2 linked regions of the Styela clava genome follow. The protein of the gene in region 1 interacts with the protein of each later gene in a pairwise test. Links are inferred from orthologs where the notes say so. Each region holds a gene or a part of one and is shown in the gene's direction. Other genes may lie near its edges. The genes, in order: protein Red-like and WD40 repeat-containing protein SMU1.

Evidence for each region.
Region 2: the proteins of protein Red-like (region 1) and WD40 repeat-containing protein SMU1 interact in binary tests that used the Caenorhabditis elegans proteins (3 or more experiments, as listed by UniProt). The link is inferred for Styela clava from reciprocal best matches to the Caenorhabditis elegans genes smu-2 and smu-1.

What each region holds. Positions count from the first base shown.
Region 1 is NC_135257.1:13,445,534-13,461,952, reverse strand, and holds protein Red-like, read left to right. Parts: upstream 1-9,597; 5' UTR 9,598-9,629; coding exon 9,630-11,216; 3' UTR 11,217-11,839; downstream 11,840-16,419. Other genes in the region: protein AATF-like, read left to right, coding at 11,890-11,971, 13,041-13,249, 13,814-13,878, 13,974-14,161, 14,792-15,020, 15,414-15,558, 15,661-15,798, 16,277-16,419. UniProt on the Caenorhabditis elegans protein: Auxiliary spliceosomal protein that regulates selection of alternative splice sites in a small set of target pre-mRNA species. Selectively regulates alternative splicing of unc-52 exon 17.
Region 2 is NC_135261.1:1,557,337-1,574,679, forward strand, and holds the start of WD40 repeat-containing protein SMU1, read left to right. Parts: upstream 1-10,530; 5' UTR 10,531-10,561; coding exon 10,562-10,635; intron 10,636-11,215; coding exon 11,216-11,324; intron 11,325-11,966; coding exon 11,967-12,117; intron 12,118-12,872; coding exon 12,873-12,994; intron 12,995-13,357; coding exon 13,358-13,442; intron 13,443-13,807; coding exon 13,808-13,964; intron 13,965-14,692; coding exon 14,693-14,861; intron 14,862-15,980; coding exon 15,981-16,076; intron 16,077-16,664; coding exon 16,665-16,823; intron 16,824-17,343. Other genes in the region: vesicle transport protein USE1-like, read left to right, coding at 3,507-4,286; E3 ubiquitin ligase Rnf121-like, read left to right, coding at 7,036-7,995. UniProt on the Caenorhabditis elegans protein: Involved in pre-mRNA splicing as a component of the spliceosome. Selectively regulates alternative splicing of unc-52 exon 17.

The sequences.
Region 1 (16,419 bases):
AAAAATGTCTTACAACCTATATATAATTTTTCAATTTCCCAAGCATGCCGTTTTTGGAGTGACGATTTCTCGGACAATGGCCAATAAAGGCAGCAATACGACACTTTTGGAGAATAGCAGATACGTTAAAGATTCGATTTCACCAAACCAGAACAGTAGCAGCACGTTTTGATCTGGCCATATTTAATACTAAACATAGCATATCATTTTCAATTTTAACAACTATGTATATGTAACATATTTAAAAACGGTTAAGTATTTCAACTAAATTTCATCAAACACTTTTCTCTCTTGGTCATACATCAAAACTGTACGTTCATTAAACTTGAAATTAGTGTGCAAATCTTAAGATGCCAAAAAATGATTTGCCCTCTAGTGGATCCTTTTCGGAATTTCGAAAAATTATCGTTTTTGAAAGGGCGATTTCTCAAAAACCGCCAATAAAGGCAGCACTACGACACAGTCGGAGTAAAGCAGATACCTTATAGATTTGATTTCATTATGTCAGAACAGTAGCAGCACGTTTTGACTTGGTCATATATGATACCAAACATAGTGTGTATTCAAAATGTTATAAACAATGCAGACGTAACATATTTAAAAACCGTTTGGTATTTCAACTAAATTTACTAGATAATTTATCAAACATCATTTTCTTTTGGTATACATACATACTGTACGTCCATTAAACTTGGAAGGAGTTGCGTAAAGTAGGAAATACCGAAAAAATCATTTTACGCCCTCTTATGGATTTTTTTTGGAATTTTCAAAATGATATCGTTTTTGAAAGGGCGATTTCTCAAAAATTGCCAATAAAGGCAGCACTACGACACATTCGGAGAAAAGCAGATACCTTATAGATTCGATTTTATTATGTCAGAACAGTAGCAGCACGTTTTGACTTGGCCATATATAATACCAAACATAGCGTATAATTTTCAATTTTATCAACTATTTAGATGTAACATATTTAAAAACGGTTAGGTGTTTCAACTTAATTTACTGGATAATTCTTCAAACACTTTTCTCTCTTGGTCATACATCAAAACTGTATGTTCATTAAACTTGGAATTATTGTGCAAATCCTAAAATGCCAAAAAATGATTTGACGCCCTCTTGTGGATTATTTTCGGAATTTCGAAAAATTATCGTTTTTGAAAGGGTGATTTCTCAAAAACCGCCAATAAAGGCATCACTACGACACATTCGGAGTAAAGCAGATACATTATAGATATGATTTCATTATGTCAGAACAGTAGCAGCACGTTTTGACTTGGTCATACATAATACCAAACGTAGCGTGTATTTAAACTTTTATAAACAATGCAGACGTAAGATATTTAAAAACGGTTTGGTATTTCAACTAAATTTTCTAGATAATTTATCAAACATCTTTTTCTCTTGGACATACATATATACTATTCGTTCATTAAACTTGGAATAAGTTGCGGAAAGTATAAAATACCAAAAAGCATTTTACGTCCTTTTGTGGATTATTTTCAAAATTTCAAAAAATTATCGTTATTGAAATAGCGATTTCTCGGAAACCGCCAATAAAGGCAGCATTACGACACATTTGGAGAGAAGCAGATACCTTTTAGATTCGATTTTAATATGTCAGAACAGGAGCAGCACGTTTTGACTAGGCCATATATAATTCCAAACATAGCGTATATTTTCAATTTTATTAAAAAATGTAGATGTGACATATTTAAAAAGGGTTTGGTATTTCAACTAAATTTTACTGGAAAATTCATCAAATACTTTCTTTACTTGGGTATACAACAAAAATGTACGTTCATTAAACTTGGAATTAGTGTGCAAATCTTAAAATGCCAAAAATGATTTGACGCCCTCTTGTGGATGCTTTTCAGAATTTCGAAAAATTATCGTTTTTGAAAGAGCGATTTCTCAAAAACCGCCAATAAAGGCAGCACTACGACACATTCGGAGTAAAGCAGATACCTTATAGATTTGATTTCATTATGTCAGAACAGTAGCAGCACGTTTTGACTAGGCCATATATAATTCCAAACATAGCGTATATTTTCAATTTTATTAAAAAATGTAGATGTGACATATTTAAAATCGGTTTGGTATTTCAACTAAATCTATGGAGTATCTGCTTTTCTTCGAATGTGTCATAGTGCTGCCTTTATTTGCGGTTTTGTGGAAATCGCCACTCCAAAAACGGTATGTTCGAGATATTAAACAAAATTACTATGGGGCGTAAGTCATTTTTTTGTTGTTTTATACAATTTGCAACTTATTCCAAGTTTAATGAACGTTCATTATTGGTGTACGTCCAAAAAAAAAGATGTTTGATGAATTATCCAGTAAATTTAGTTAAAATACAAAATCTTTTTACAATATGTTACGTGTACATTGTTTATAAAATTGTAAATACACGTTATATTTGGTATTATATATGGCCAAGTAAAAACGTGCTGCTGTTGTTCTGACATAATGAAATGAAATCTATATGGTATTTTCTTTTCTCCGAATGTTTCGTAGTGCTGCCTTTATTGGCGGTTTTTGAGAAATCGCCCTTTTAAAAACGATATTTTTTCAAAACTTCAAAAAAACACCACAAGAGAGCGTCAAATCATTTTTTGTTATTTTAGGATTCGCCGTCTTATTCCAAGTTTAATGAACATACAGTTTTGATGTATGACCAAGAGAGAAAAGTGTTTGGTGAATTATCCAGTAAATTAAGTTGAAATACCTAACCGTTTTTAAATATGTTACATCTACATAGTTGATAAAATTATATATGGCCAAGTCAAAACGTGCTGCTACTGTTCTGACATAATGAAATCAAATCTATAAGGTATCTGCTTCACTCCGAATGTGTCGTAGTGCTGCCTTTATTGGCGGTTTTTGAGAAATCGCGCTTTCAAAAACGATAATTTTTCGAAATTCCGAAAAGAATCCACAAGAGGGCGTCAAATCATTTTTGGCATTTTAAGATTTGCACACTAATTCCAAGTTTAATGAACGTACAGTTTTGTTGTATACCCAAGAGAAGAAAGTATTTGATGAATTTTCCAGTAAATTTAGTTGAAATACCAAACCGTTTTTAAATATGTCACATCTACATTTTTTTAATAAAATTGAAAATATACGCTATGTTTGGTATTATATATGGCCAAGTCAAAACGTGCTGCTACTGTTCTGACATAATGAAATCAAATCTATAAGGTATCTGCTTTACTCCGAATGTGTCGTAGTGCTGCCTTTATTGGCGGTTTTTGAGAAATCGCCCTTTCAAAAACGATAATTTTTCGAAATTCCGATAAGGATCCACAAGGAGCGTCAAATCATTTTTTGACATTTTAAGATTTGCACACTAATTCCAAGTTTAATGAACGTACAGTTTTGTTGTATACCCATGAGAAGAAAGTATTTGATGAATTTTCCAGTAAATTTAGTTGAAATACCAAACCGTTTTTAAATATGTCACATCTACATTTTTTAACAAAATTGAAAATATACGCTATGTTTGGAATTATATATGGCCAAGTCAAAACGTGCTGCTACTGTTCTGACATATTAAAATAGAATCTATAAGGTATCTGCTTTTCTCCAAATGTGTCGTAATGCTGCCTTTATTGGCGGTTTTCGAGAAATCGCTATTTCAATAACGATAATTTTTTGAAATTTTGGAAATAATCCACAAAAGGACGTAAAATGCTTTTTGGTATTTTATACTTTCCGCAACTTATTCCAAGTTTAATGAACGTATAGTATATATGTATGTCCAAGAGAAAAAGATGTTTGATAAATTGTCTAGGAAATTTATTTGAAATACCAAACCGTTTTTAAAGATGTTACGTCTGCATTGTTTATAAAAGTTTGAATACACGCTATGTTTGGTATTATATATGGCCAAGTTAAAACGTGCTGCTACTGTTCTGACATAATGAAATCAAATCTATAAGGTACCTGCTTTACTCCGAATGTGTCGTAGTGTTGCCTTTATTGGCGGTTTTTGAGAAATCGCCCTTTCAAAAACGATATTTTTTTAAAACTTCGAAAAAAATCCACAAGAGGGCGTCAAATCATTTTTTGTTATTTTAGGATTCGCCGTCTTATTCCAAGTTTAATGAACATACAGTTTTGATGTATGACCAAGAGAGAAAAGTGTTTGATGAATTATCCAGTAAATTAAGTTGAAATACCTAACCGTTTTTAAATATGTTACATCTACATAGTTGATAAAATTGAAAATTATACGCTATGTTTGGAATTATATATGACCAAGTCAAAACGTGCTGCTACTGTTCTGAAATAATGAAATCAAATCTATAAGGTATCTGCTTTACTCCGAATGTGTCGTAGTGATGCCTTTATTGGCGGTTTTTGAGAAATCGCCTTTTCAAAAACGATAATTTTTCGAAATTCCGAAAATAATCCACAAGAGGGCGTCAAATCATTTTTTGGCATTTTAGGATTTGCACAATAATTCCAAGTTTAATGAACATACAGTTTTGATGTATGACCAAGAGAGAAAAGTGTTTGATGAATTATCCAGTAAATTAAGTTGAAATACCTAACCGTTTTTAAATATGTTACACATACATGGTTGATAAAATTAAAAATTATACGCTATGTTTGGTATTATATATGACCAACTCAAAACGTGCTGCTACTGTTCTGACTTATTAAAATCGAATCTATAAGGTATCTGCTTCTCTCCAAATGTGTCGTAGTGCTGCCTTTATTGGCGGTTTCCGAGAAATCGCTATTTCAATTACGATAATTTTTTGAAATTTTGAAAAAAATCCACAAGAGGACGTAAAATGCTTTTTGGTATTTTATACTTTCCGCAACTTATTCCAAGTTTAATGAACGTATAGTATATATGTATGTCCAAGAGAAAAAGATGTTTGATAAATTATCTAGGAAATTTATTTGAAATACCAAACCGTTTTTAAATATGTTACGTCTGCATTGTTTATAAAAGTTTGAATACACGCTATGTTTGGTATTATATATGGCCAAGTCAAAACGTGCTGCTACTGTTCTGACATAATAAAATCAAATCTATTAGGTATCTGCTTTACTCCGAATGTGTCGTAGTGCTGCCTTTATTGGCGGTTTTTGAGAAATCGCCCTTTTCAAAAACGATAATTTTTCGAAATTCCGAAAAGGATCCACAAGAGGGCGTCAAATCATTTTTTGGCATTTTAACATTTGCACACTAATTCCAAGTTTAATAAACGTACAGTTTTGTTGTATACCCAAGAGAAGAAAGTATTTGATGAATTTTCCAGTAAATTTAGTTGAAATACCAAACCGTTTTTAAATATGTCACATCTACATTTTTTCAATGAAATTAAAAATATACGCTATGTTTGGAATTATATTTGGCCAAGTCAAAACGTGCTGCTACTGTTCTGACATATTAAAATCGAATCTATAGGGTATCTGCTTTTCTTCGAATGTGTCGTAGTGCTGCCTTTATTGGCGGTTTTTGAGAAATTGCCCTTTCGAAAACGATAACTTTGTGAAATTTATCAAAGAATCCACAAGAGGGCGTAAATTTTTTTTCAGTATTTCAGACTTTACTCAACTTATTCTAAGTTTAATGAAGTGCATTATTGTTGTGTGACAAAGAGAAAAATATCTTCTTTGATGAACTATCCAGTAATTTTAATTGAAATACAAAATCAGTTTCAAATTTGTTATATATACATTGTTTTAAAAATTGAAGAATATACGCTATGTTTAGTATTATATATGGTCAAGTCAAAACGTGCTGAGACTGTTCTGACATATTGAAATCGAATCTTTGAGGTTTCTACTTTTCACCAATGGTGTTGCAATGCTGCCTTTATTGGAGGTTTTCATGAAACGACCATGTTACACGACGAAAATTCAGTCATTTTTAAACATCTCTCAAAGAATTATAAAAAAATTTTGTGCACTGTAACAGTCGCTTTAGCTTGTTTACCATATATTAACAATACGAGGAGTGTAGTTAATGATTGTTTTGCTTTAATTGCTATTGTGAAAATAATCAAAATATACACTTTCTTATAAAAATCATTGGGAACATTTAATTTTACGCGTGGGTATTTTCTGCGATTCTGTCAGTCACAATTTCGTGTTTTGCTGCTAGCTTCACAGAGGTGTATGGTATGCATATCTGCATGTTGTGATCACAATACTGCAGTCTGGCAACAGCAGCAGTTAATACTGTAATACCGGTACAGTAATATGAGACTACTGGGCTATGGTACATACTAATATCTGAATACAGTAAGTTATTGTAAGTCATTATTTACACTTAGTGTTACTAGAAAAATTAGGGTCTCATGTAGGGTGGTGTAGCCAATCTGCGGACGATTTCATTCAAACCGCTATAAAACAAAAACCAATATTTCTAACCCGTTAATTTTTTCACCGTAAGTGCATTGGCATTTATTCTACACGCTGAACTTCGAATTAACTTTCTACGACCAGGGGTTAAAGCTATACAAACCACCAAAGTACGACACTCTGAAGACGTATTTGCGACCGAACGACCAGTGTGCGATCACGGATTTCAAGCCTTGAACATCGTTTCTGCTGTGTCGAGACTGGGGCATACGCAGCCATGCGTGAAAAAATGGGCTTCTAATTGCATTTCTGACCGTTATATATTTTAAGAACACGGTTATTTCAAACAAAATTCTTCAAATTATAAACAAAGCACCGCATCACAACAATCAAACAGACAAAAACACGGTGGTCGCAAATTAGTTGACAAAGATATTATTGACGTATTGGAAATGCGCACCCCCCTACTCCCCCTCCTTTGAAGGTAGAAACGCGAAACTTTAAAGATGGTTGAAAGAAACACAACTCTACCCACCTGCCAAGTTTCATCTCTTTATCTCTTATATTTGTATGGATTTTCAAGCTTTTTTGAGGGAACAATGGGTAGTTGGCGACATGGTAAAATGGTCCGTTTTTTTTCTTCGGTCAGGTTTTCGGTCGTAACTTTTTTATTTGTGGCCGCATTTTAGTGTCTTTTCGCAGAGCTACGAGGGATAAGTGGACGATAACGTGTGAGAAATATCGTCGCGGTTCGTTAATTTTTTCGGCATTAATTTAATCGATGAAGTTGATGGTCGCAAAGTGGGTAAGCCACCCTACTTTCCTACCTAACGTACTTCTAGTAGGCGTAGCATAACAATTTTTTCACGTGTCAATCCTGAGGTGACTTCAGGACATATTTGATATTCCTAAACTTTTTCTCGTAAAATCTAACCTATCTATTCGATGATGCCCCAATAGCAAACTCTATTTCTGATTTAAACTAAATTCAGAAATTATTAACCAAATGCTGAAATGGCGTTATTTATTTTGAGTTATACAGATATCCTATTGGCAGATTGGTGAACTGTTTATCCGCCATTTAACATTGAGACATTTGATTCAATGATGTTACTTCAGGCCATAGGAGTGCAGTCGGTCATAATTAAAAAATGTTGCCCCTTCTCCACATTCATGGATATTCATTTTGTGCTGTCATATCATAAACATTGTGAAACTAATTGAGCAAATTTCAAACGGCATCAGGGATGGCCAATACCGAATAATTTACTATTTCGAATACATTCAAAATTATTATTTAAGTTTCGAATACTTCGAAAATAAATGCAAGCTTATCTTTATGGCGGAATTAGCATACAATAAACAATGGAATTACCGTTACCTACAAGCTGGCTACCAGAAAATTTATATCCGCCGATTGCCGTGATATTTTATAGTAGTATGCCCTTTTTATTTTCGTAAGTACGAGAGTGCGAATCAAAATTAATTATAATAGGGCAGTTTACCATTAGTTTTGTGTTTTTGATTGCTGTGGTATTTTGAAACATTTTATTCTTCGTAAGACGAGGCATTGATGAGTTAGGCTACATCGAACAAAAGTAAATTAATACGAAGGCATTTTAAATGCTGTTATCAGTCATGGATTTACGGTAAATACTTTGCACAACCGATAATTCCATACTTTTAACAATCATTATCAAAACTATTTGCCGAAAGTGGGTAAAGGTATAAATTATTTTTTTGTGAGTACGAAAGTGTGAATCAAAAATTAATTATAATCCAGCATTTTACCACACATTATATTTCTACAGATACCGCGTTATTTTAAAGTTGTAATGCTTTTGTATTTTGTAATTATAATCAAGCAGTTACCACACATTTTATGTTCACAGATGGTCGCCGTATCTTAGAGTAGTAATGCATTAATTTATTCGCGAGTCTGCAAAACTATGTGTTACGTTAAAAACAATTAAATTAATACAATAACAATAAGTCATTTTAAATGCTGTTGTCGGTCATGGATTTGAATATTTTGCAACATATAATCATCTTAGTTAAAAGTCCATACTTTCAACTATCATTATCAAAATTATTATTTTTCCGTGAGTACGAATTAATAAATCAAAGTTAATTCTAATCGGGCAGTCAACCACACATTTTATGTCCACAGATTGCCGTGGTATTTTGGAGTTGTATCAATATTTGTTTTTCGTAAGTACTGTAATAGGTTTAAAAAATTAATTATAATTGGCCAGTGCACCACACCATTCAATGCTGCAGATTGTCGGTAATACTTTTATTTTTTCGTTAGTTGACGCAACCACGAGTTAGGTTAATTATTAAACAAAATTAAATTAATACGACAAGGCATTTTAAATGCTGTTATTGTTCATGAATTTGAATATTTTGTCGCAACGGAAAATCATCATAATAAAAAGTCGATACTTTTGACTATCATTATCAAAATACGGTATTTGCCAAAAGTGTGAAAATGTTTAAAGGATTTTTTCCAATAAATCAACTCGTTTTTTAAGACATGAGACAATTTATTGGGTGTTGTAATTTGTAACAAAGTGCACGACTTTATTTAACTTATTTATTATCTGACTATTTGTATTTATGTGACTTCCTTGACTTAATACAAATGAATCCGTAAATTAGAAGCATTGCAAGGGGATGGCGATAGTGCCAATCTTGCGACCATGCAAATGTGTCGCAACAATAAGGGCGCACGCTCGCACAGAAGATAATGAACAATCAAAGTGTCGATACTATTTCACCACCATTGCATTACGCGACAAAGCGTGGAAATCGGCATATACAAGTTTAAGCCATCCATCTTCATTTAAACTGGAATCTCTTTCAGTTATAGGATAGGATAGAATTTACCTATTTATCCCGGGGGAGAGGAAAGCCGATAAGAAGGCTTATTCATATGGCGAACCACGGCCTCTCGTCCGGTTACCATTCCAAGTCGGGTATGGTATGGGATTAGTTATATTGTTTGTTTTCGGAAGCATGGACTTGGTGGTGGAGGAAGCCGTAACCGACCAGCGGTTACGTGAACCACCCAACGACGGCGAGAAGTCCAGCAATCCTCTCGCACATAACCATCCCTGCATGGGATTCGAACCTGCGAACCCACGCAGAGTAATTAGAGGTGCGGTGGCGAGCGTATTCCTAACGCTTAGCCCGTTGAGCCACAACGCCGCGCCGTTATGTCAGTGACAGTTCAATACTCAGCCATTCATTTTTTTTTTTATATTTTATAAATACTGTTGAACTAATTTTATCAATAAAGCATTATGGCAAATGAAGAATTTTCTAATCCTCTGCCCCCTGAGCATTATCATGAGACTGATGGCAATGTTAATGAACAACCTCTAACCAATGCAGACTTTCGAAAATTTTTGACGACCCCTAAAGCTGGTGGTGAAAAAACTCACGATGATCGAGCAAAACGAGTCTCAGCGTCCCAATCAGAATTTGATTCAGAAGATCATGAATCGGCTGCTGAAAAAAGAAGAAAAAAGAAAAGTTTGTATGCAAAACTTAAAAAGCAAGAAATGGAAAGGCAGGCTGAACTTCAAAAGAAATATAGAGATCGAGCAAAAGAGAGGAGAGAAGGTAAAGGAGATTATGCTGAATCTGATCTTATCAATACAACTGCTAATTACAAAACCGTTGGCCCAAGTGCTGAAGCGGACCGAACTTCCGCTGAGAAAAGAAGACAAGTCATCCAAGAATCAAAATATCTTGGAGGTGACATGGCTCATACTCACTTGGTAAAAGGTCTCGATTTCGCTCTTTTACAAAAGGTTCGAGCTGAGATATCGACAAAAGAACGAGAGGACGAAGAACTTGATAAAGTTTTATCTGAAGACATAGAAAACACGAAAGAAGAACAACAGCAGCAACAGAAAGAAGTGGTTACGTTCAAAACAAAAATGGCAAAAAACATACACAGACTTGTCTTCCAGCCTCAAATGAAACTAAGAAATGAATTGTTTTTGCCGGGACGAATGGCGTACGTTTTTCAAGTCGATGATGAGTTTGCAGACACAGATATTCCCACTACTCTGCTTCGTAGTAAAGCAGACTGCCCAACACTCGAGTCTCAAACAACATTATCAACTAACGATATTGTTATTAATAAACTGACTCAGATATTGTCATATTTACGTCAAGGTGCTCGCGAAAAGCATAGAAAGAAGAAAGATAGAAAGATAAAGACTGAAAATGATAGGCCACATAAAAGACCCATTGAAGCAGACATGGGCATATTTGATGATATTGGTGAATATGTTCCTACTCTAAAAAAGAACAGAAGCAAGCCTGCAAAAAATGCTCATTCTTATTTTGAGAAACCTAAAATGGAAGAAGAAATGGTTGAATCAAAACAAGCTGTTGCTGCTTCAGTGAAAAATTTTGTAAAAAATGTCAATGAAAAATATGCAGGGTCGTCACAACCAGACCAAACCAAAGAAACTAAAAAGCAAAAGAAAGAGTCTGGCAAAGGCAATCCACTCATTGGCACAGCGGGGGCATCTGACAGTTACATGGAATGCTATCCATCAGCGCAATACAATTTATCAGGCGTAGGAGACGATAGTGATGATGAAGCAGATTACAGTAAAATGGATCAAGGTAGTAAGAAAGGTCCAGTTGGAAGATGGGACTTTGATACTCAAGAAGAATATAGTAATTACATGTCTCAGAAAGAAGCAATGCCTAAAGCTGCCTTCCAGTATGGAATAAAAATGACAGGAGGTCGAAAAACAAGACGAACCAAGGAGCAGAATGAAAAACAAAAATTGAATCGCGAACTGATGCAAATCAATCAAATTATTGAAAAGCGAAAGGGTGGAGATTCGAATTATAAGAAATATTAACTATATATTATCAAGTTATAAGCATTACTTTGATCATAAAAAAATTCAAGGTTGAACTTGTGAGAATTACTGTATTTGCCAATGTTTTCATCATGTTGAATGTCTGTTTGTTAAAAGTGATATTCTCATATCATTATTTTGTAAATTGATTTGTGTATATATAAATGGATAGACAAGTATAGAATGTGTAATTTGTCGTAACCGTATTATTTTAATGAGTGCATATTTTGGAATTTTTGCCTTTGAATGGAGTTTCTTATATTTGATTATGATTGTGGTTTGTATCATTTAGTCACATCTTTGCCACAAACTGGTACTGTAGTTCAAATGGATGCTCTTCTGTAACTGATCTCATAATTCTGATATTTAGGTTTGAATTTTCTGAATGTTACAATAAAAAGTTGTTGAATTAATGATTGTGACGATAAAATCCAATAAAGTACTTACATACCCACTTTTCTCAAGAGTTTTTGTTCTTTTCTCCTAAAATTCATTAAAATGCATGGAGACTGCCACTATCTGAAATTTTACATTGGGCATTCATAAATGTTTGTTAATAATGTCAATCGAAGGGTATCGACCTTTATCAGTTTATTGAATGTTTGCTTTTTTTATTTAGAAAACCAAGTACAAAATCAAGTTTAAAGTATACATAACAATTTTAAATGTCATCATGACATCTTTAGCTGAACAACTTGCTAGGCTTTTCGATCCGAGTGTGAAGAGCATTGACCCAGAAGATGATATTTATGAAGGTACTTGTGATATAACACTCAATGCATTACTGTTCACTTTATGCACATTTTTTTGCTAAAACTGTGATGCACTTCTACAGTTGTGGTTGTGCTATGGCACCTAAAGACTTAAATAGACCTGACCATTTAGGGGTGTTTTTTGGCTTGCTACTGAGTTGCTGGGTACCTACATACTCATAATATTCTTTGACTGAACGCTATAACCCAGGGGGGCACAACCTGCAGCCGTACGGCCGCATGCGGCTTTCGCAGGTAAAATGTGCAGCTGTGCTGGTGTGTTACTGAAAAATAATTTATGTTTTATGTTGGCGCTTGAGTGTTACGAAAAATCATATCATTACTTGTGTCTGTAATGGAAATAAATTATCAGTATTATAAAAAAGTAACAGCTCTGAATATTCTTTCATATCTCTAAAGCGGGATATCGTTAACAGAGAAACGGTTCTTTAATTCCAGATGAAATTAGATTTTTTTGGCGTTTATGTAAAGAAGTTATTGTTCGAAACCTGATCGCGATGACGCCACTCGTTGAAAAAGTCAGCTTTACAAAAATGTAATGCCCCCGTCAAACGAGAAAAGGTTGTGCACCCCTGCTGTAACCAGTGACCCAGTATTATTATTATTACTCAAACATTGTTTGTGAATATTGTGGTTGGTATAAATTGAATTGTTTTCTCTTCAACTACTGAATCACTGTCACATTTCAATTATTCGGAGATTGAAACTTCTCCCTAAAAGGCTTTCAATTTTGTTTTGAAGATTTTTTTGGTTTAGAAAAATTGTATCCTTGATCATAGACTCCTTGTTCTTGAATTTCTTGAATTAAAATATATATAGATCATCTGTTTTGTTTGATATTTGCATTTCTACTTTATATAATGCAGTAATGCCAGAAACTAATAACTGTATGTGCTACCCAGTTTTGAAATGACTGTACTTTATGGGTTTAGCATATCTGACCGAAATGTTACTCCATGATTGAAGTGACGAACTAAGTAAAACGATATATTACGACTATCTATACCTAATGAAAATTGTTGTATTTTTACATGGTAGAATTTTTGTTTAGAAACCAGAGCTAAAGTTGTAGAGAAAGATGATTTGAATAGTGATGCTGAAGATGGAACAGTTATTCAACATGTTCCTGGAATTGGCCGAAGAAAAATGCAGTCGCTCGAAGGCATGGGAGAGCTATATAGGGGTAAAGTTGTATCAAGGAATCAAACATCAGATGGTGATGGAAGTGAGTCTGGCAATGAAGATAACATTGAACTGGAGGTAAATATTGTTGCTATCATGAAGTGCATTAAGGTATTTAGATTACATTTCCGTTTTATTCTGTATCGTCAAGAATAGTGAGAAAAATCATGTACGATAGTAGAATTCTTTTGTAATTCGAATATCATGACCTCCAAATATCGTTTTTAGTCTTTATGAGAATATCAAATATCTTTGCTGTCGAGGTGTTTTTGACTGAAAATATTTTCCAGTTAGTGCATATCATAGACGAGATAGTCTGTGCAAGTGTGCAGCCACAGCAAGAATTAGGATAAAAATTGCGCTATAATTGTTTTTCATCCTCTGTTTCGATCCTGTCCGAGTATAAGGAAAAAATTTTGCATTTCTTGAACTTCACTATGTCTAAAAAAGCATTTATTTATTTATTAGTATCTCTACCTGATTTTATCGTTATCCTCGTGTCATTGTTGATAATATAGTTTGGTAGTGTAGGTTGGCTGTATTTATTCATGTGCTAGGACAAAAGTTTATCATTTGTCAAGTTTGGGTGATGAAAAATGTCTTTTTTAGAATGTGTTTTATATAATTGCAATTTATTTATAGAATGGGAATGCTGAAGATGAAAATATTGACAGTGGAGATGATCAAACTGATGAAGATATTGAGAGGTATATTCTTTTACTTCTATTATGTTGTTTTCTATATCTATTGACATCCTGTATCCAAATTCTTGATTTGAATATGTTTTTCACTACTAATGCAGAGAAATGAATGGTGATACTAGCTATAATAGTGAAGTTGGAGACATTATGCTAGATGAAGATGATGGAATGGATGAAGAAATTGATTCTGATGAAGCCGATGGAGATGGCGATGACAGTTTAAAAATATTTCAAAATAGGAAAAAGGCTGATCCATTATTAAAATCGAGAGCTACTAGAAATCAATTTTGTGAGATTACTTACGTTTCTTTTATTAATTAAAATTTGTTAGTTTTATCTGCCAATCTGGTTAATTCTAATATTCATCTAATGTTGGACAATATTTTTGATGGGAATGACAAATTGATTGGATTATGTAATTGTTTGGTCATACTTATATCATTAGAGCGAAGCCCTATGATGGCTAGAGTTTTGGGCTCAACTATATTGGCATTAAAGATCCATGGTTCGAACCTATGATCACCACCTCACTCAGGGTGTAATAAGGTGAATGATTGAGGTCCTTAAGAAAAAAGCAGCTGTTTACATATTGGTGTAATAGAGACTTGTATAGAGCTTTGTTTAAAGTGAAAGACGTCATATAACGAAAACGATACCTGAATGTATTGTACAATACTTATCTACGGTATATTCGCTAAAATTTCATTTGCTGCACAATGTAGTAGGGCCATAACTTTTCTGTTTGCTTACCTCACATTTTGTATAAGAGCACACTTTTTACTGTTAGTTCAAAGTTATCGATGCTCTTTGTCGAGGATAAACATAAACAAATGATAGATGTGAACAGACAGATATTGACTATTTGACTTTGCGAATAAATTCAATTTGTTTTTTTGAGAATTTTTTTTATATTTTTTAGGTTTGTGGGAAAATATGCTTGAAGCTCGAATCAAATTTCAGAAGATACTTACAATATCTAACAGATTACCTCAATATGATAAGATGGAACTATTTAAAACTGAATTACCAGCTTCTCTTTCATCTGCGGATAAAATTTTGTCTAATCTTTTATACAAATTGTTAGAATTAGAAAGGAGACTTCTCACTCAAAATCCTGAAACTCAGTCAATAGCAGATTCTAAAATCAGGTATGTTTATTGTCAAAAACCCTAAATTGAATACATTCATGGTACCTAAATCTCAGTGATACGTTAGCTTTAGTATGTGAAATTGTTAGTTTTTTTCAATAGTATTAAATAATGAATTTTATTGAAGTATCTCCAAGTTTATCGTCATCAAAATCTGAAGTTTTTGCACTGGTATATTGAAATTTTAATCGTCTGGATCTGCTGTTGCAGCAGTAACATTATGCGATCATATTGCTCTATTTATTTTATAATGCTTGGGACTTGAATGACACTACAAAATCACAGTGCACATTGAAGAGATATATCTTGTGTAATGTTCCCATTGACTGACACACATCAATAGAAATGTTGTGGGTAGTCATCTCTAAATTTATTGTTATTTTTTATGCATAGTAATAACAAGCGGAAAAGTACAACGTCGATGGAAGAGGTGAATGATATGATCCAAGACAGATTTACTTCATATAAAACTCATAGGAATAAAGTACTGAAGTTGTGGTATGATAAAACAAGATTAACAGCGACATCAAAATCAAAGGTATACATACGTAAATCAGTATTCGTCATATTTGTAGAGTTAAGAATATCATAATGTTTTACTTTACCTCTTTCATAACAATTATGACTCTTTATATTTCAGTCATTCTCAAATTTTGAACGGTCGACAGTTTCTCAGATAGAAGATATATTACAAGACCGTGAAAGATTAATCAAGCGGACACAATTGAAAAGAACGAACTATCGTATACTGGGAACGACTCAGTCTAATAAACTAGAGGTCTGTGAAATATTGTGGTTTAGTATGTTAAATTTTTGGTCCAGAATTTGGTTTGAGATGTTGGTATAAGGAGTTATGTGTGAAAGGATTCCTAAGCTGGTTACGTCTTGACTCCTTCAGCATCCGTATCCATCAATCTCGAATAATTACGGGTAACTCAGCTATTTCCAAAGCTGATCTGGACTGGTGATTGGGCATTAATCTTTTTTGGTTCGCAACATGGATATGCTGTCTTATTGAATTTCTACCTTGGAATAAAAATGGAAAGTCCTAATAAATATAATTCACAATATATTTGTTTTTCAAAGACAATTTATTTTAGTATCATGTTGCCTTAAGATCAAAGAAGGCACGAATAATTGAACAGAGTTGTGTGCCAAGCTTCAGTCCTTTACTCATATCAGGTCTATGTTATTGACTTCACCCATCCCTGTCAACTGTTGCTTTTTGCCCTTTAGCTTTTGTTTTCAATCAATAGACACCTGTTGAAGATGCCGACAACCACAGTAGTCATTTAAAAGAATATCTGCCTGAAATCTATGATGACGATGACTTTTATCACCAGTTACTTCGACAACTCATTGAACAAAAATCATCAGGACCTGGAGGTTCATCAGATCC
Region 2 (17,343 bases), on another chromosome or scaffold:
CGTGATAAATTATTGCCTAACCCTGTTGCACATACTACGTTCCGGTTTCGGCCATCTTGGTTCACATACTACGGGAGCACACGACGTTTTCGGTGCGAACTCGTTTTTCTCTGTACTGCGACAATACAACGCTACATTTCTCAAGTACTGTCGTCTGAATTGATATCCTATGTAGATACGACACTTTACAAATTCACGATGAATGACATGAGTCGATCAATCGAAGTTCACTCCGTGATATAAAAATTGACAGCAACAGACATGTGCAGGCGGAAATGCAAAAGCCACCGGACATCATTGATTACTCTGCGTGGGTTTGCAGGTTCGAATCCCATGCAGGGATGGTTATGTGCGAGAGGATTGCTTGACTCCTCGCCACTGTAGGGTGCCACCATCAAGTCCATGCTTACGAAAACAAAAAACTAACTAATAATAATAATCGGCTTTCCTCTCCCCCGGGAAAAATATGTAAATCCTATCCTATCAAGTTATTGAAAATATTATATTTTTTGACTTCAGTAAATTTAGTTAAAGCAATACTTTGCGATAGTTCTATTTTAATTCAAGTATTACATATCAAAACCTGATTTTCTGGTAAAACTCGTTTGATATTAAATATACATTCATTATATTGTACGTCCTTTTGATTTTAGAATGTATTGCCAAAGTATCGATCATCTTCTTGGCTATACTTGTGTTTCATGTATTCAAGAAAGGGGAAAATGTCATCACCCTCACGTACGTTCCTTTGAATGCTTACATGCTCTCGCTCGAAACAGAAGCTTCTGCTTCGTTGTTGAGCAACTTTGTGTCTGTCATTCCACGTCAAAACTCACAAACCGTGTTTAATCTTCGCGCTGTCAATCGAATTGTGACATAATCAATATCTGTTTATTTGGTAGAGTATAACAGAAATCGTAGCATAATAAGTAGGGTTAGAGTGCTTCTTGAATCATATTTGCGTGGTCAAGTTAACTTCAACAGTAATATTACATCTGTGAGGTGTGAAAGATTATAAACGTGCGCACGAGGTGGTAGATATCTAACGACGTCATATGTTAAGTCTTTGTGCATAATGTTTTGATTGACACTACGGAAATTGATTTTTTAATTGATAAAAAGGCTTTGACATACCTTGAATGATCATTTAAATGAAATTTTTCGTGACTCATTGTTGTGTCAGCTGCAATTTTAAAATTTGTCAATCAATCAATTTTATTTTGGTCACTCTGAAAGAAACAGAACAACAACAAGATAGCAATCAGAGACCGCCGACTTATCGATCTAGCGGCGTGTATCCTTCGCTCTGACTCAATAGCGACACCGCGTGTCCCATAACTAATTAATTGATAACTCGCTAATTATAGGACATTATTCATCCAAAATCAATAGGCTTCTGGTCTGAGATATGATGAATGTACATACAAGCTTTGGAGCAACCTTGCTTTCGTGGAATAGCGCGTAACATACGAAAGTATCTATCAGACAGACAAATACCTATCATTTTTTGGGGGATTTTTTTGCCTATTCAAGTCAATTGGAGCGTAATGCAACGGTTCTTTTTTACTTTAGCTTACGACATCAAACTCGCTATGAACTCGCTTCACGATGAGCGGCTAACCAAGATTAATTTTCCCATTTTTTGTCTCTTTATAATAGGAATTTATGCACACTGTATATTTTCCACAGTTGAGTATGTTGTCTGTTAATTAAGGTACTGTGGGTAGCGGTGCCCCGAGCCCCGAGAGACGTGGATCTCCCCAGATTCTGTAGTGATTTATTACGCACGTAATCAAAAAAAAGCATTAGCTATTATTCTTCAATAAAACAACGACTAATTTGACAATGAGTTTTGTCATGACGATTCTTATTATATGGAAATTCAAAATGTGTTCAATATATCTTTCCTCGAGAATATTGTCAATACCGCGTGCAAACTCTACCCTGAAGTTTGACCTCCGGATTTCAAATATATGACTCCTTGTAGCGTCATCGTTTCTATTAGCAAGACTGTCTGGATCAAAGTGACTATGATCTGGATTGGGTAGTTCAGAACTGATAGCTGTAGGCCTACATCTATCTCGTTGTTAGTAAGGATTAAGTGTCTATTTTATTCCGGGTAGAGGAAATACGGCTTATCATATAGAAAACCACGGTCTCTCGTCCGGTCCAAAGTTTATCTTTACTGTTCACTCCCATTTATAAAATTGACCAATTTGGCAGTGCAATCATCATAAATTTATTAATATGGTGTGGCAAGTAGTTTTTATTTATTTATTTTTTATTAACTACCAGTATGTAATTTTTCATGTTTCCTTTACTTAATAACTTCTATATGGTTGTGTGTGTGGGTGCGTGTAAGCTTGTGTGAAATATTTCAATTATTTTATGTGAGTGAACACGTACCACATCTTCTTGGCAAAACCTTCCATCTTATATGCATTCTGTACGTTTTAAACCTTATCTAAGGTTTTGTTCGCTCTCCTGATTTCATAAGCAGTTTTTATTTATTTATTTTTACAATTCATTTTATTGTTTTGCTGATTATGGAGTCGAAATAAACTTATACTTAATATACTTATACTTATTTGGGGCAATCTCCCACCTAAAACTAAAAAAAGTTATTTGTGCATGTTTTCAGTAAGACACTGACCTGCTGACTGACTGAAAAAGTATTTCCTAGTGAAATATTCTAATTAGTCCTAATACCTTAAATTATTTTCTCGAAATATAGACTATCTCGTGTTTGATTTGCTTATTGAAGGTCATGGCCATTTTTTCTAACTTTTGTGTGTGCATAATTGAAAGTTGCTGTTTTTTTTATCTTTTTTTTTACACAAATAATTGCTCTGTCATCAATCTGATGATTATTATGTTCAACTCTAAAAGGCATTGTTAATGATATTTCCAACTTTTTAATTATTGCTGAATCTGTGATAATACTGTAATATGATTGCTTCAATATTATCTTTATTTCTCCATGTATTTGAGTCCGGTACATGTCCAGTGAATATTTAATTATAAGAAAATATAATAAATAGCTAATTGTAAAAACCAATCTTGATATTTGTTTTGTTTCTCTGGGCCTGTCCGCACCTAAAAACTATTGTACATATTGTCGTTGTGCCTTACCTTTTTGTCTTGTGTATTTTACTAGAGTTTTATTTGTATTGTCAATTTCATGTCTGTTGTCCTGGTATATCGCATCAGTCCTAAAGTGCTGTTATAATTGTTAGGGGTACATGTCGCACATCTGTGTCTTAGGCCAGTAAGGTCTTGAACATGTATCCCGTCTCTGTTATACTGTTCAATTATTATGCAGATACTGTTACATTTTGAGGCAAATAAACATACATACTTTGTGTGACCCAGGATAAATATGTGAATCCTATCTTAGTTTATATTGCGGAAGTCAACAAACTAGACATAAATTCCAAATCTTTAATCTAATCTAGAGCTGTCACTAAAATAAAATAAATAATAGCTAAATATTAAGTTATTTCAAGATGGCTCCTGCAGTGAGAAGCCGAGCAGAGATTCGTCTTATACGACTGCTTTCCAGATGTGAAGAGATGGCTGGGTTAAACACACCTGATGACTGGAGACTTGAAAAGTATGTTGGAGCATTAGAGGAACGTCTACAAGCGGTCCAAAAGCTTGATTCCTCGGAAAAACCAAAGGAAGATATCATCAGTGAATACGCAAAGAAAATTAAATTTTTAAAACAACTTTTAGAGACTCAAAAATTACCTGTCACATCAGAAAAATCTCTCGCTAACCAACTACTCGTGCCAGCAAAGTCTCGGACGATTCCAACTAATAAAGAATCTCCGACGGGAAAGCAGATTCAAATGCAGGCATCGTCGAGATACACTACGGAAATGCGCGACGAACTCATGCTCACAGAGAAGGAGAAATCAGCCGGAGTGCGCTATAGAGCAACGTCTTCTGGTGGAAGTACGCAAAATGCAGACACTGAAGCTATACTGCAACATCAACATAAAATGCACGAAAAAATTGCTGACGAAATGGTTGCGTTAACAAGGAATTTGAAACACAACATTATGGCTTCTAACAGAGTTATAAAAGATGATTTGAATGTGATCGAAAAATCTTCTAAAAAAGCTGATCAGAATTACGGCCAACTTCAAACCGAGTCGTCACGACTTGAGAGTCATTTAAAGAAAGGGACGAACTGGTTGTTGTGGATATCTCTTGCTCTTGTCTGCGCTGTGTTTATGTTCATGATTTTTTTCATCAGGTTTTTTCCCAAAAGGTACTCTTGATTGTTCATCATTATTATTCTTGTAAGTGCCAATAATGCTATCTCAGGGGTGTGAAACATTTAAAACAGGAGGGCCAGATGGATATAACTGGGTGAAATCGCGGGCCACACTTAGCTTTTAAGGCATTATGAAGTCATAAGCCTAGATAGTAAATTGGATGTACCAAATCAAATTTAAAACTTGTTTCTCAGGCCGCACCTCATTCAAAATTGTCACTTCTTCGTGGGCCACACAATTATTTATAGAGGGACGAATTTGGCCCCAGGTTGCACACCCCTGTACTGCGCCATCGTAGTAAGAATGTAAGGAGCATACGATACAAGTTTTCTCAATATTTAATGTGCCTATAAACAGGGATGCCCAGTTCCGAATACTGCACTCTTCCGAATACATTCTAAAATAATATTTTCGAATCTGGAATTTTCAATACATTCTAAAATCAGACATACAAATTTTTGTTTTAGTAAATTACGGTAATATCCAGTAAAATAGGAAATAGCTCCAATAGAAATATTAGAATGAGGCCACAAACCAACAGTATATGTACACAAATTATTTGATAGTTTATGCCAAGTTTCTATTGAGAAAGTTAACATTCAATGAAGACGCTTCGAGAGCGATGTCGCAGATGTGTGACGTTACACAAAAATTCGATATTCCTATAAACGTTGATTCCGATATTCGAATGACGAGATATTCAAACTGGCCATCCCTGCCTATTAATCTACTAAACAAGATAATCAAATGCGAGAGGATTGCTTGGCTCCTCACAGGCGTTGGATGGTTCATGTAACCCGGCCAGTTGTTGATAACTGATAACTGATTAGGCTATCTAATTCCATCATGGATTGGTAACCGAACGAGTGGACATGGTTTGCCATATGATTGATTTGTCTTATCTGCTCTTCCGGGATAAATATATTGAAATCTTACTCTAAACCAGGGATGTGCAACCTGCGACTACGAGGAAAAATTGTGTGACCCGTGGAGAAATGCCTATTTTGAAATGGTGTGCGGCACGAGAAACGAGTTTCAAAATTCTCAAGTTTAATCTAGTACATGCGAGTAATTCCTGTGCGTTGCAAAGCCTATACCTGAGCTCTTGCGAAGCGAGCACTGCATGTCATCAGATCAATACTGGGGCTAGGCATTTTCGAATACCTGATATTTCAGAATCGAATAATTTTTTCGAATCGAATCTCGAATACTTGGAAGATATATAATCGCATGTAACTTTCTTATTGTATTGAACACACAAATTACTGGAAAAGTAAAATACATAACTCAGACAGATTGCTGAAGCGCTCACACACAATAAAAAACACATTTTCATCAATAACTCACTAATTTTTGTGCCTGCATCTACTAGAAAGCCTATGGTAAATAAATTTGCTGCCCGCGGTTTTACCCAATTATGTGTATCTGGCGCTCCTGTATTATTAAAGGTTGCACACCCCTGACCTGAACAGATGAAAAGATGCTTTACTGCCTGCCTGTTACCAGTTGTGCATTTAAATATTGAGAATCTACTTGGTACCACTTTTATAATGTTCTATTTTATTGCTATTTCTTGGTGCAATTAGTTAAAGTCTTGATGTTTGAATTGTATATTTTTGACATGTTTTGGTGAAGGATATTCTGCATTATTCATATCTTTAATCAAGGATTCAAGAACTTGGATCCAATCTGTGGATATCATTTACCTCAATTCTAAATCCCTTAATAATCAATAATTTATCTCCGTATTGATATATTGTGATCAATATTGGATTTGTTGGATTAAGTTTCACCTGAGTTGTGAGGTAGGCTGATTCTCACCTCTCTTTGTTGTATATTTGGAAAGCAACTCATGGATTATGTTTTCATGGTCATAAGCAGTGATAAGGAGGCTCCAGTCCAGGGGTTCCCAACTGTCCATGGCGTGGCCCCTTTCCCGAGGTTTTTTAGAGTTTTTTGTAAAAGGAAAAATAAAATCAGTTTTGCGCCTAGCATTGTGGCTCCCTTGTGGGCGCTCCAGTAGTATGTGAACCAAGATGGCGAACACCGGAACGTAGCATGTGTACCAGGTTAGGGTTAGGACATAATTTTATTCCAATTTTTCTTTTTTAGTCCTATTAGGAGTTCGGTGACTAGCCAAGTGACTCCTGTAGTATTTGTACCTGAAATTATGGCCTAACCTGGTACACCTACTATGTTACGGTGTCTGCCATCTTGGTTCACATACTACATGAGTGGCCCCAACTGCTCTAGTCATTGACACTAAGTCACTATTTATAAAAAGAATCAAACGAGATTTGATTTATCTGAATAAACCGACTGCGAGTGTTTGACACTTGTCCCGAGGTCGACTATTTCCAGACTTGACAGGGTCTATATATGGTCAGGTTCCCCATATGATTATGCCATGTTATTGGATTTTCCCTTGTCTTGAGATACCCTAAATAGCGTATGGAAATCTATACAGACCTACAGAGTTACCTATAGTGCAATTCCGACTACTTTGCCACGGATAGAAAGCGTTGATGCATGACAGGCCAGAATAATTGCATTCTAACATAATGGCATTTATGCTGTCAATTCTCACTTTCTTGATTATCTGGTTAAATTATATTGAAGTACTGAGCCTCATTATTTTTCCTTTTGAATTATTGCTTCCTAACTATTGGTGAAAATTATATAATAATATATTATTTTTGTTTCAACTAAGACAGTTTAATATTTATTTCATTCTTAATTAATAATTTAAAAAATGGAAGAAATTAAAGAAACTATAGAGATTGAAGTCCAACCAACGAAACAACTTACAGAAAAGGAGAAAATTATCGCAGAGCGTCTCGAGATGCAGCGGAAACATAAAGGCCATGAAACCATGCATTTAGAGATGATTTTTATTCTTATTTCGACATTAATTGTGTCACAAATAGCGCTTGTACAATGGAAGAACCGTCACCCTAAATCTTACAACATTGCGACTTTGGTTGGGATGTGGATTATACCGTTAGCTTTCTCGTTACATTATCTTTGGTGGAGATTTTTAACAACATGGGTAATTTTCACTGTCGTTACGGCGTTTGTTGTTACGAAAGCAAGGAAGAAACCACTTCGTGGTACAACGCCAAGATTGGTTTACCAATGGTTTTTAATTTTGTTTCGAATTTGCTACGCTATCGGCGTTTTCGGTTATTCACTGATTGTTTTAACAATGATGGGTGTTAATATGGCATTCAGGATTCACCCTGAGACAGCTATGGATTTTAGCGTCGTTTTGATGTTTTACGGACTTTACTACGGAGTTATGGGTCGCGATTTTGCGGAAATATGTTCAGACACGATGGCTTCAACAATTGGATATTACACAAAGACTGGAATGCCAACAAAACAATTATCTCCGGACGTTTGCGCTGTCTGCGGACTTGTTTTAGTACTTCCCGTAGACGAGGATGACGAAAATACAGAGAAAGTCTACAAATTGTCATGTTACCACAAATTTCACGATTTGTGCATTCGTGGCTGGTGCATTGTGGGTAAAAAGCAAACCTGCCCTTACTGTAAAGAGAAAGTTGACTTGAAAAGAATGTTCACGAGCCCTTGGGAGCGGCCTCATATTTTATATGGTCAATTATTGGATTGGATTAGGTACCTTGTAGCTTGGCAACCTGTTATATTAGGCTTGGTTCAGGGAATAACATGGAGTCTGGGTTTAAAATGAGAAATTTCCAAAAATTATCTTAATTTAAAAAAGAACGTTTATTTAGTGCTCTTTGGGAAGTGGATATGAATATTTAAATAGCAAGTTTCAAATAAAAAATAGTCAAATAATAAATTTTTGAAATATATTTTCGAATGTTACCGATTTAGAACATTTCTTTGCTTTGCAATTTAAGAGTCGCTTGTGCTGCACACTAACACAAATGTATTTTTGTAACGTTTTGTCCGACCCAAATCAGACTTCCTCAGACAAGCAGTTTACGTGCATGGACTTAATGGCGAAGGAAACTGTAATCACCCAACGGTTAGGTGAACCACCCCACGTCGGCGAGGTGTCAAGCAATCCTCTCGCATATAATCATCTTCGTATGGGATTCGAAGTTCGAACCGGCATAGGGTAATCAGAGATGCGGTGGCAAGCGTATTCCCAACAGTTAGCTCGATACACCACTGAGTTGCTTCAATTCGAGTGCAGAATCATTATATGCATTCACTGTCCAATATCTCCTTATAATACGATATTTATATTTAACACGAGGGTGCTTCTTGTCTTGTTACTGGATGGGAATAGCTTACAATTGAATTTATTTCTTCCTATCTTGATGCAATTTCAACCTAATTAGGTCATGCGAGTGCAACTGAATTTCAGCGATTTTTTATTATGAGGCATTTTATCATCTAAACTCTCTATAAGTAGCAACTGATACATAAAGGGATACTTTCTTTTGAAAGAACCGATTTTTCCTGTTTTGCATTGCCTACCCAATTACTTACAAACTGGGTGGTGACCATGGGGATTGACAAAAGTTAGGCAATTAGAAATTGACATGTCAGAAGTTACTGGCCTGAATTTTTCCAGTACAGCATTGCCTAGCCAATTTATTACCCACTGAGTTTCTCGTCCACATGTTAGTGTTTAGATATGTTGTGCCTAGACTGTATTTTATTGACCTTTGACCCCTGACTTTCTCATCCGCAATCAAATTTGCTATGTAATTCAAATTTATCTTCTATTTCACATTGGTCAGGGACGTAGCCAGGAGGGTGTTTTTGGGTGTCGCCCCATTTTGAAATGTAAAAAAAATAAAAGCATCTTTTTGTATCACACAGAGCAATTCTTCGTAGATTGAAACGCTTTTTAGACCTCCATTACTCGTGAAAACACACGTTTTCCAGCGTTCGGTCGGACCCGCGAGCTGTTTCGATCTAACTTGGCAAATAGAAATTTCAGAACCCCCCCCCCCCCATGTTGTGCCTAGACTGTATTTTATTGACCTTTGACCCCTGACTTTCTCATCCGCAATCAAATTTGCTATCTTAGTATCTAATTCAAATTTATTTTGTGTTTCACATTGGTGTTCACATGTTAGTGTTTAGATATGTTGTGCCTAGAATGTATTTTAATGACCTTTGCCCCCTGACTTTCTCATCCGCAATCAAATTTGCTATGTAATTCAAATTTATCTTGTGTTTCACATTAGTGTTCACATGTTAGTGTTTAGATATGTTGTGCCTAGAATGAATTTTAATGACCTTTGACCCCTGACTTTCTCATCTGCAATTAAATTTGCTATGTAAATCCAATTTATTTTGTGTTCCACATTGGTGTTCAAATGTTAGTGTTTAGATATGTTGTGCCTAGAATGTATTTTAATAAACTTTGACCCCTGGATTTCTCATCTGCAATCAAATTTGCTATGTGAATCAAACTTATTTTGTGTTTCACATTGGTGTTCACATGTTAGTGTTTAGATATGTTGTGCCTAGAATGAATTTTAATGACCTTTGACCCCTGACTTTCTCATCCACAATCAATTTTGCTATTTAAATCAAATTTATTTTGTAATTCACATTGGTGTTCACATGTTAGTGTTTAGATTTGTAAAAATTTTTCATAGCAAATATCTTTAGTTTTCTGTTTGTAGTTCGAATTGAGTGCAAAATTCATTATATGCATTGTATTTATCTGTCCTAAATTGTTGTTTTGTTTCATTACCCTCTGCGTGTTCCACAACAGATTGGCTTGTTTATTTACTCTTTCCACTAACTGGGATGGCTCGGGGACTCCTCTCATTGGGCAACAAAAAAAAAATCTAATTTTAAGCTCAATAATTGTAAAAATCCAACAACAATTATTAGAGAACATGCCACTTTGTTATTAGAAAACATGCCACTTTTATTCCTTGACTAACATTTATCAATTTACGGTTTTATTCTACAAGTAATACGTACTTCGTACCTCCTAACGTAGCGTCGTATGCTATACCAACACCACAGTAATTGTTAGGCGCTTACAATAATAAACAGGAGGGCCATAAGAGCTTAAAGCCGCCTGACCCCATAGTAGGTTAAGAACCACTGGCATAGCACAATGTGCCAGCTATCAAATCGACCTATTCTGAATCAGGTCTTGTCTATTTTTCATCTGATAGATATTTGTGTGCTAGTAAAACATTATATTTTATTTTTGTCAACATCATTATTTATCATTTTACTGTTCTAAGACAAAGTTTAATTTGTTTTATTTATTCTATCATAGAGGTATTATTTAGAAAAAAAATAACAGAATGACTTTAGAAATTGAATCTGCTGATGTTATCAGGCTTGTGGAGCAATATTTGAAAGAAAGTAACCTGCACAGGTGTGTTACCGTACATCCTTTAATATAATTAATGATTTTATAATGATGAATTTATGATTATTCGCATGCAAGCCGACCCCCAAAAAAGGACCCAAATTGTTGAATTTATGATAATTCGCTTATAAGCAGTCCCATTTAAAACAGATCTGAATTGGGGAATTTATAAAAATTCGCAAATAAGCCAACTTTACAAATCTTTGTTTAATACAAAAGTTGAAATGAACTGTTCGAGGACATGAATCGAACATGTATTTTTCCTTTTTAATCTCAACAGGTGCTAAGATATACTTCGGATTTTTAAATTACTCCAACTTTTTATTGGAACACTTTGGTGAATATTGCCTCAAACTTTAATCAGTAACTAGCTGAAACTAAGAGCATTTAAATATTTTTTTGAAATTTCAACATGTCTTGGAACATTCAAAACAAACAATACCAACATACAGGACAGAAATTCAATTCCAGTTATGTTTGATTTGTTTTGGGCCTGTCAATTATTTTACCTGTTCATTTTATTATTCCAGAACTTTCATTCAAATTGTTTCAGACCTTATCCTAAAAATTCATTTTGTTATTTCAGAACCCTGGCAACCCTTCAAGAAGAATCCACTATTTCACTCAACACTGTAGACAGCATAGATGGCTTTGTGTCGGATATAAATAACGGACATTGGGACACAGTTTTGCAGGTAAAGCATTAGACTCCACCATGTAGCTATTCTAAGCTAAAAATCTCTGGTTTAAATCACATGTTTATCACCAGGGGAATGGTTTTGCGAGTCGGAATCCCCCCTCTTTTTTGGAATGTAAAGAAAAGCATTTTTTTCGTACCATACATAGCAAATTTTTCATAGCTTGAAACGCTCTTAGACTCCACCAAGCCTCTTGAAAACCACAATTTTTGATCAGACGCCCTGGCTGTTTTATTTTAACATAACTTTGCGGTTAGAAATTTTAAAGTTTTTAAACATGTAGGACTATAGAATAAAGGTAAAAGGTCAACTCTTTTTAAGCCCACCCTTTGGGAACCGCTGCAATAGTGAATTATTTGATTTTTGCCATCCCTGGTTGATACTAAACAATTGGAGTTGCGACTTTTAGGGAACAGCCATTCACATGCAATTTTTTTCAAATTTATCCAGGCCATACAATCCTTAAAGCTGCCAGACAAGACTTTAGCGAATGAATAAAAAAAGAGGGTATTTCGTGTCATACATAGCAATTTTTCATAGCTCAAACGCTTTTTAGACCCGGAAGATCTTTCTGAGATTTCCATGAGAACAGCCATCCACATGCAAATCTTTCAAAATGTTTTACCACTCTTTATTCAGGCCATTCAATCCTTAAAGCTGCCAGACAAGACTTTAGTGGATTTATACGAACAAATTGTTTTGGAATTGGTGGAACTACGAGAACTTGGTGCGGCAAGATCTCTTCTCAGACAGACAGATCCTATGCTTGCATTAAAGCATTCACAGCCAGGTTGGAATTAGGGTTATTTTCAATTCATTTTTCATGATCAGAAAAATCTTAAACTTATCGTATATCCTTGCCGCATATAAGCAGGGTTTAAAACTCAAAAAAGTTGCCAAACTAAGGGGTGAGCTTATACTTGCGTAACTCTGATAGATACCACTAAATATTTGTCTTATATGGCAATATCTCTGATGGCACTCAAACCAAATAACAGTATGCTAATCTAATTCTAACAGCTGCAACTTGAATTTGCTGTGATAGGCAGGTATGACGTGTTGTGATTTGTAGGGTCAGCTTATATGAGAACCTTTCTAATTTCGTAATTTGTAATTTCCTAATTTCGGATAGGGCTCCAGACTAGCAAGACCAGACACTCAGAGGGCTACTATATTTAGGAGGGCCGCGGTCTTTTCATTTTTAGCATTGCCTTGCTAATGTAATTACATCCTGTGCCAGTTGGTATGTCGAAATTTATTTTATTCATTAGTAAATTTTTTAATTTGGGAGTGATTTAGAACATTTTTATATAAAAATTAGATATTCTGAGCTGTAGGTGCTGTATTTGATATTTCATATTCGAAATATATTCTCAGAATGTATCCGGAATAGTGATACATTCAGTTTGGGTAGAGGTTCCGATATCTCAAAAATTATTAGCTCTCCACATATCCATTTGTACTGAGGCGAGTTCGGAGTAAATGTGTCCATAGAGTAAAAAATGAGCACCTCAAATAGTGTTTTAATTTTAATTGCATTTTCAGATCGCTACGTTCACCTTGAAAACCTTCTGGCAAGGTCATATTTTGATCCGAGAGAAGCCTATCCCGATGGATCAACCAAAGAAAAAAGAAGAGCCGTGATAGCTCAGTCCCTGGCTAAAGAGGTGAGTTTAAATTGTTGTGTATTTTTGGAAGTAAGATCAAAGAAAGAATGGTCACTGGGTTGACTGTTGTTAAGGCTGTTGTGAAAAATCACTTCTACCTATATAACTGGGCTAATTTACCAATCTATCTGGAATTTTGTGTACTTTGAGAAGGTACAAAATGCTAACAGTCTAGATTTGTCTTAGAGTAATTTGGAAACCGATAAATTTGATACATATGTCATTCAGTACAATTCTTTCAAGAACATTTGGCTGGTATTTTGCTGATATTGGAGTGGCCGTACAAGTCAATCAACAACAGTGTCCCATCCGTATATTTAAGCATTGCACTCTTGTTCATCAGTCTAATTATCTTTCTTTCAGGTCAGTGTTGTACCACCATCTCGTCTTATGGCATTACTCGGCCAGGCTCTGAAATGGCAACAATATCAAGGACTTTTACCTCCAGGTAACACTAGTTAGCTATTTGCATAATTCGTACTATTCTGTAGTTTAATCGAAACTTCAACCTATGGGCATGGAGTTTGTGGTGTTTTTACTGACTTATTTTAAACTTAGCTGTGCAATGTATTTAACGTGGTGACCGTACATTTGAACCCACGTACATTTGAACCCATGCGTATATCCACGGGTTCAATCTATATGCGGGTGCTAAAACCCATGGGTTAGGGTTAGTATGGGTTTAACTATCCGTGAAACAAAAAAAATTCCATAGGTGCAATAGCATACAAGTGCAATTGTCATGGGTTCAAATGTACGTGGGTTCAAATGTAATGGAACCATTTAACGTCACTCTCTTTTTTACCTCTCCAGGGTCAACGATTGATTTGTTCCGAGGAAAAGCAGCAACAAGAGAGGAAGAGGATGAAAAGTATCCGACAATGCTGAATAAAACAATCAAGTTTGGTCAGAAATCTCATGTTGAATGCGCAAGGTTTTCTCCTGATGGACAGTACTTGGTGACTGGGAGGTAAGTATCAGTGGGTACTCCCGTAGTATGTGTACCATGGCAATTACCCCCATATATTTTATTTTACTGAGCCATAAAATTATTTCACGTCATGCTATGATCAAGGCTTAGTCCATGAGTCATTAGTATTAGCAAGCTGTTATCACCCTTTTCTTACATTCCCCTTTTCCTTAGTTTAGTAACTTCACTATTTCCCTGGGTATTGGTCCTTTACATAATATAGCTTCGTATTAGGGTTAGGCGATAATTTTATTCAGGTTATCCTAGTTTAGATTTTAGTTCTATTATGAGTTCGAGATTGTCTGTGTTAGCCAAGTGAATACACCCCGTCTATAGGTTTCAGTCCCTTTACACAACTTGATGTAAAGTAGGCGAACAAAAATAGTTACCTCCATATTGGTACACATACTTCTGGAGAGCCTGTCAGGTTGAAATAGTTGGTATTGGGTTAGGGTTCAGATAAATATATGCGAGAGGATTTCTGTGCTGCTCTTTGTTTCAGGGTGGTTTTCATAATTGCTGGTTTGTTATGGTTGCCTCAAAAATTAAAATTTATCTGTCCAGAACTGCCGGTGTTAAGTGCTGTCTATTACAAATCTTGCCCTGAAATAACAATAATAACTGAGCAAGAGACTGTGTATCAACATATACCAGCTTGTCTTATCAGCTTTTCTCTTCCCGGGAAGCGAAATGAAACATCACAACCTCACACAATTTCTTTTTTACAGTGTTGACGGTTTTATTGAAGTATGGAACTTCGCGACCGGTAAAATTCGTAAAGATTTACAATTTCAAGCCCAGGATCAATTCATGATGATGGATGATGCGGTTCTGTGTCTTGCATTCAGTAGAGACAGTGAGATGCTGGCAACTGGAGCCCAAGATGGAAAAATTAAGGTATAATATAGCCTTGTGGTTTAAAACATCCAACTTGATTGTGTCTTGAGTTCAAAAGGATTTTCGCTTGAATACAAATGTGTAGAAAACATGAGCGCGTCCAACTTTTCTGCTGCTCGAGTTTCTGATAATGATTCTCCTTATACATAACTTCAAAGATAATTTGGGGGATGAACAAATTATAGATTTTATTTTGTATGAGAATAAATAAAATAAAGGTAAAGTAAGATTGAAATGTTTGTATTATTATTATTCGAATCATCAAACTAAGCAACAAACTCACCCCTTATATGTGCTGCCTGGGGCGGCTACCCCCTATGGTCGCTCTAGACCAGGTGTGGGTAACTTCTCTAGTCGGCGGGCCATATGTTAGAAAATGAGGTTCTCGGTGGGCCGGATTATAACATGAATAGTATTCAATATCTCAATCACATATTTATTCGCTAATGCAAGAAAGAAAATTATAAATCACGTTTAAAGTAAAGTTTAAACTACAAAAAAATAGAGACCAAAAAACACATAATGAATTTATCATGATTTACCAAAAGTGTAATAATGTAATATCATAATGTACTGATGAACAGTCAGCAGACGGTCAAAATCTCGTCGCAGGCCGTACGTTGCCCACCCCTGCTCTGGACACACCCCTGGTAGGAAAGTTGGAATAAACAATAATCTGATTGTCCCAGTTGTTAATAAAGAGAGCGTTTTTTTCATAAGAAGGAAAGAAATACTAACAAGGAGATCAACTAGATAGCGATCAGAGACTGCCGTCTTATCAATCGTACTGCGGTTTCGATTCCTCCGCTCAGACTAAATAGCGACAATAGTGTCCCATCACTAATTAATTTATAACTCGCTGATTTAATGACATAATTCATCCAAAATCCAATAGGCTTTTGGTCCGAGATATGATGAATGCACATGCAAAATTTGGAGCAGATTCAACCTTCGCTTTCAAGATATCGCGTAACATATGAAAGTGTCTAACAGACAAACACCTATGATTATGAACATACTTACCGATCGAGATCGATAAATAACAACAAAACGATCCATAGCACGGTCCACTTTGTGTCCAACAGAATTGTGGCTGAAATACAAGTTTTTGTCTTTCAGGTTTGGAAGCTGACTACAGGCCAATGTCTGCGTAGGTTTGAGAGAGCTCATACTAAAGGAGTCACCTGTGTTACGTTCTCTAAAGATGGAAGCCAGGTATGCCGTTTGGGAAATGATGTTCAATTTTGATAGTGTATCTCACGATCTCGTCGTATGGGTGGCCATTAATCGACATTTTAAACACAAAGTTGAAGCTAAGACACAAAGCAAATTTGACATAATATCCAACGATGTAGTTTTGTTAAAGTAAATAGGTTGCAAGCGGTGTTCCCTCTAAGGTGTGCGCGTGTGCACGCGCACACAGCTTTCAGAGGCTGCGCACACGCATAGATTTACTGCGCACAGACGTATTTCGATGTAATGTGAAAATGTGCTTGGTTGGCAGGTTGAGAAAGTTTGTTGTTGGCCCACCTATCACCCGGTTAGAATGCCAAAATTTCTTCATTGGTTTTTGCACAAATATTAGTCATTTCCAAAAAAGTGCGCACACACCAAAATTTCTGCGCACACATACTACAAAAAATTAGAGGGAACATTGGTTGCAAGATAAGCTGCATGGCCCAAATTCCCATACTATTACATTGGTGGTTAGACTCCTAGTTTTGATATTCTATTTTAACCCAGAAACCTACTTTGTCACATTATCTACCAGGGGTTAGTATAAAATCCTTTTTTTATTTTCAGATTCTCAGTGCTTCGTTTGACCAAACGATTCGAATCCATGGTTTGAAATCTGGAAAATCTTTGAAAGAAATGAGAGGGCATACTTCCTTTGTAAATGAGGCTTTGTTTATCAATGACGGGCATAATGTTATCAGCGCTTCATCAGATGGAACGATAAAAGTAAGATAAGAGATAGATAAAACGTTTTATTAGCTGTTATTTACTGTTATGTAAGTTTCGGACGGCCCCTCAGTGTTTGCTCGTAACTGTACCTGAATACTGTAGTGTAATATAACGCCATAATTCTCTATTGTTTCGCCAGTCGTTGCCTGTAACTTTGCTCAGAGATGAGTCTCTTTACTTCGCAGTGTATGTGACAGGGGCGTGCGTTAGCCAAGAAATTTAAAATTGTCAAGTTAGACTGTATCAGCCAAGATGATGTCACCCGAACGGCATCATCTTAACTGTTACCATTACGCTTGTTTCTTATGGCAAAAAAGTTTTGATGCTCGGAACAAATCGGTAGTCGAACACCAATCCTGAATGGATTATTTTGGACTACCGAGGTATATCACTGTGTGTATAAAACTATACATATAACTCTTAGAACATTAGTAATAACTTGCATTAACAATTTTCTCATCATAAATTTTTCACTTTTCATTGAGGATTTGTGATCCTTTCTAAACAAACATGTATT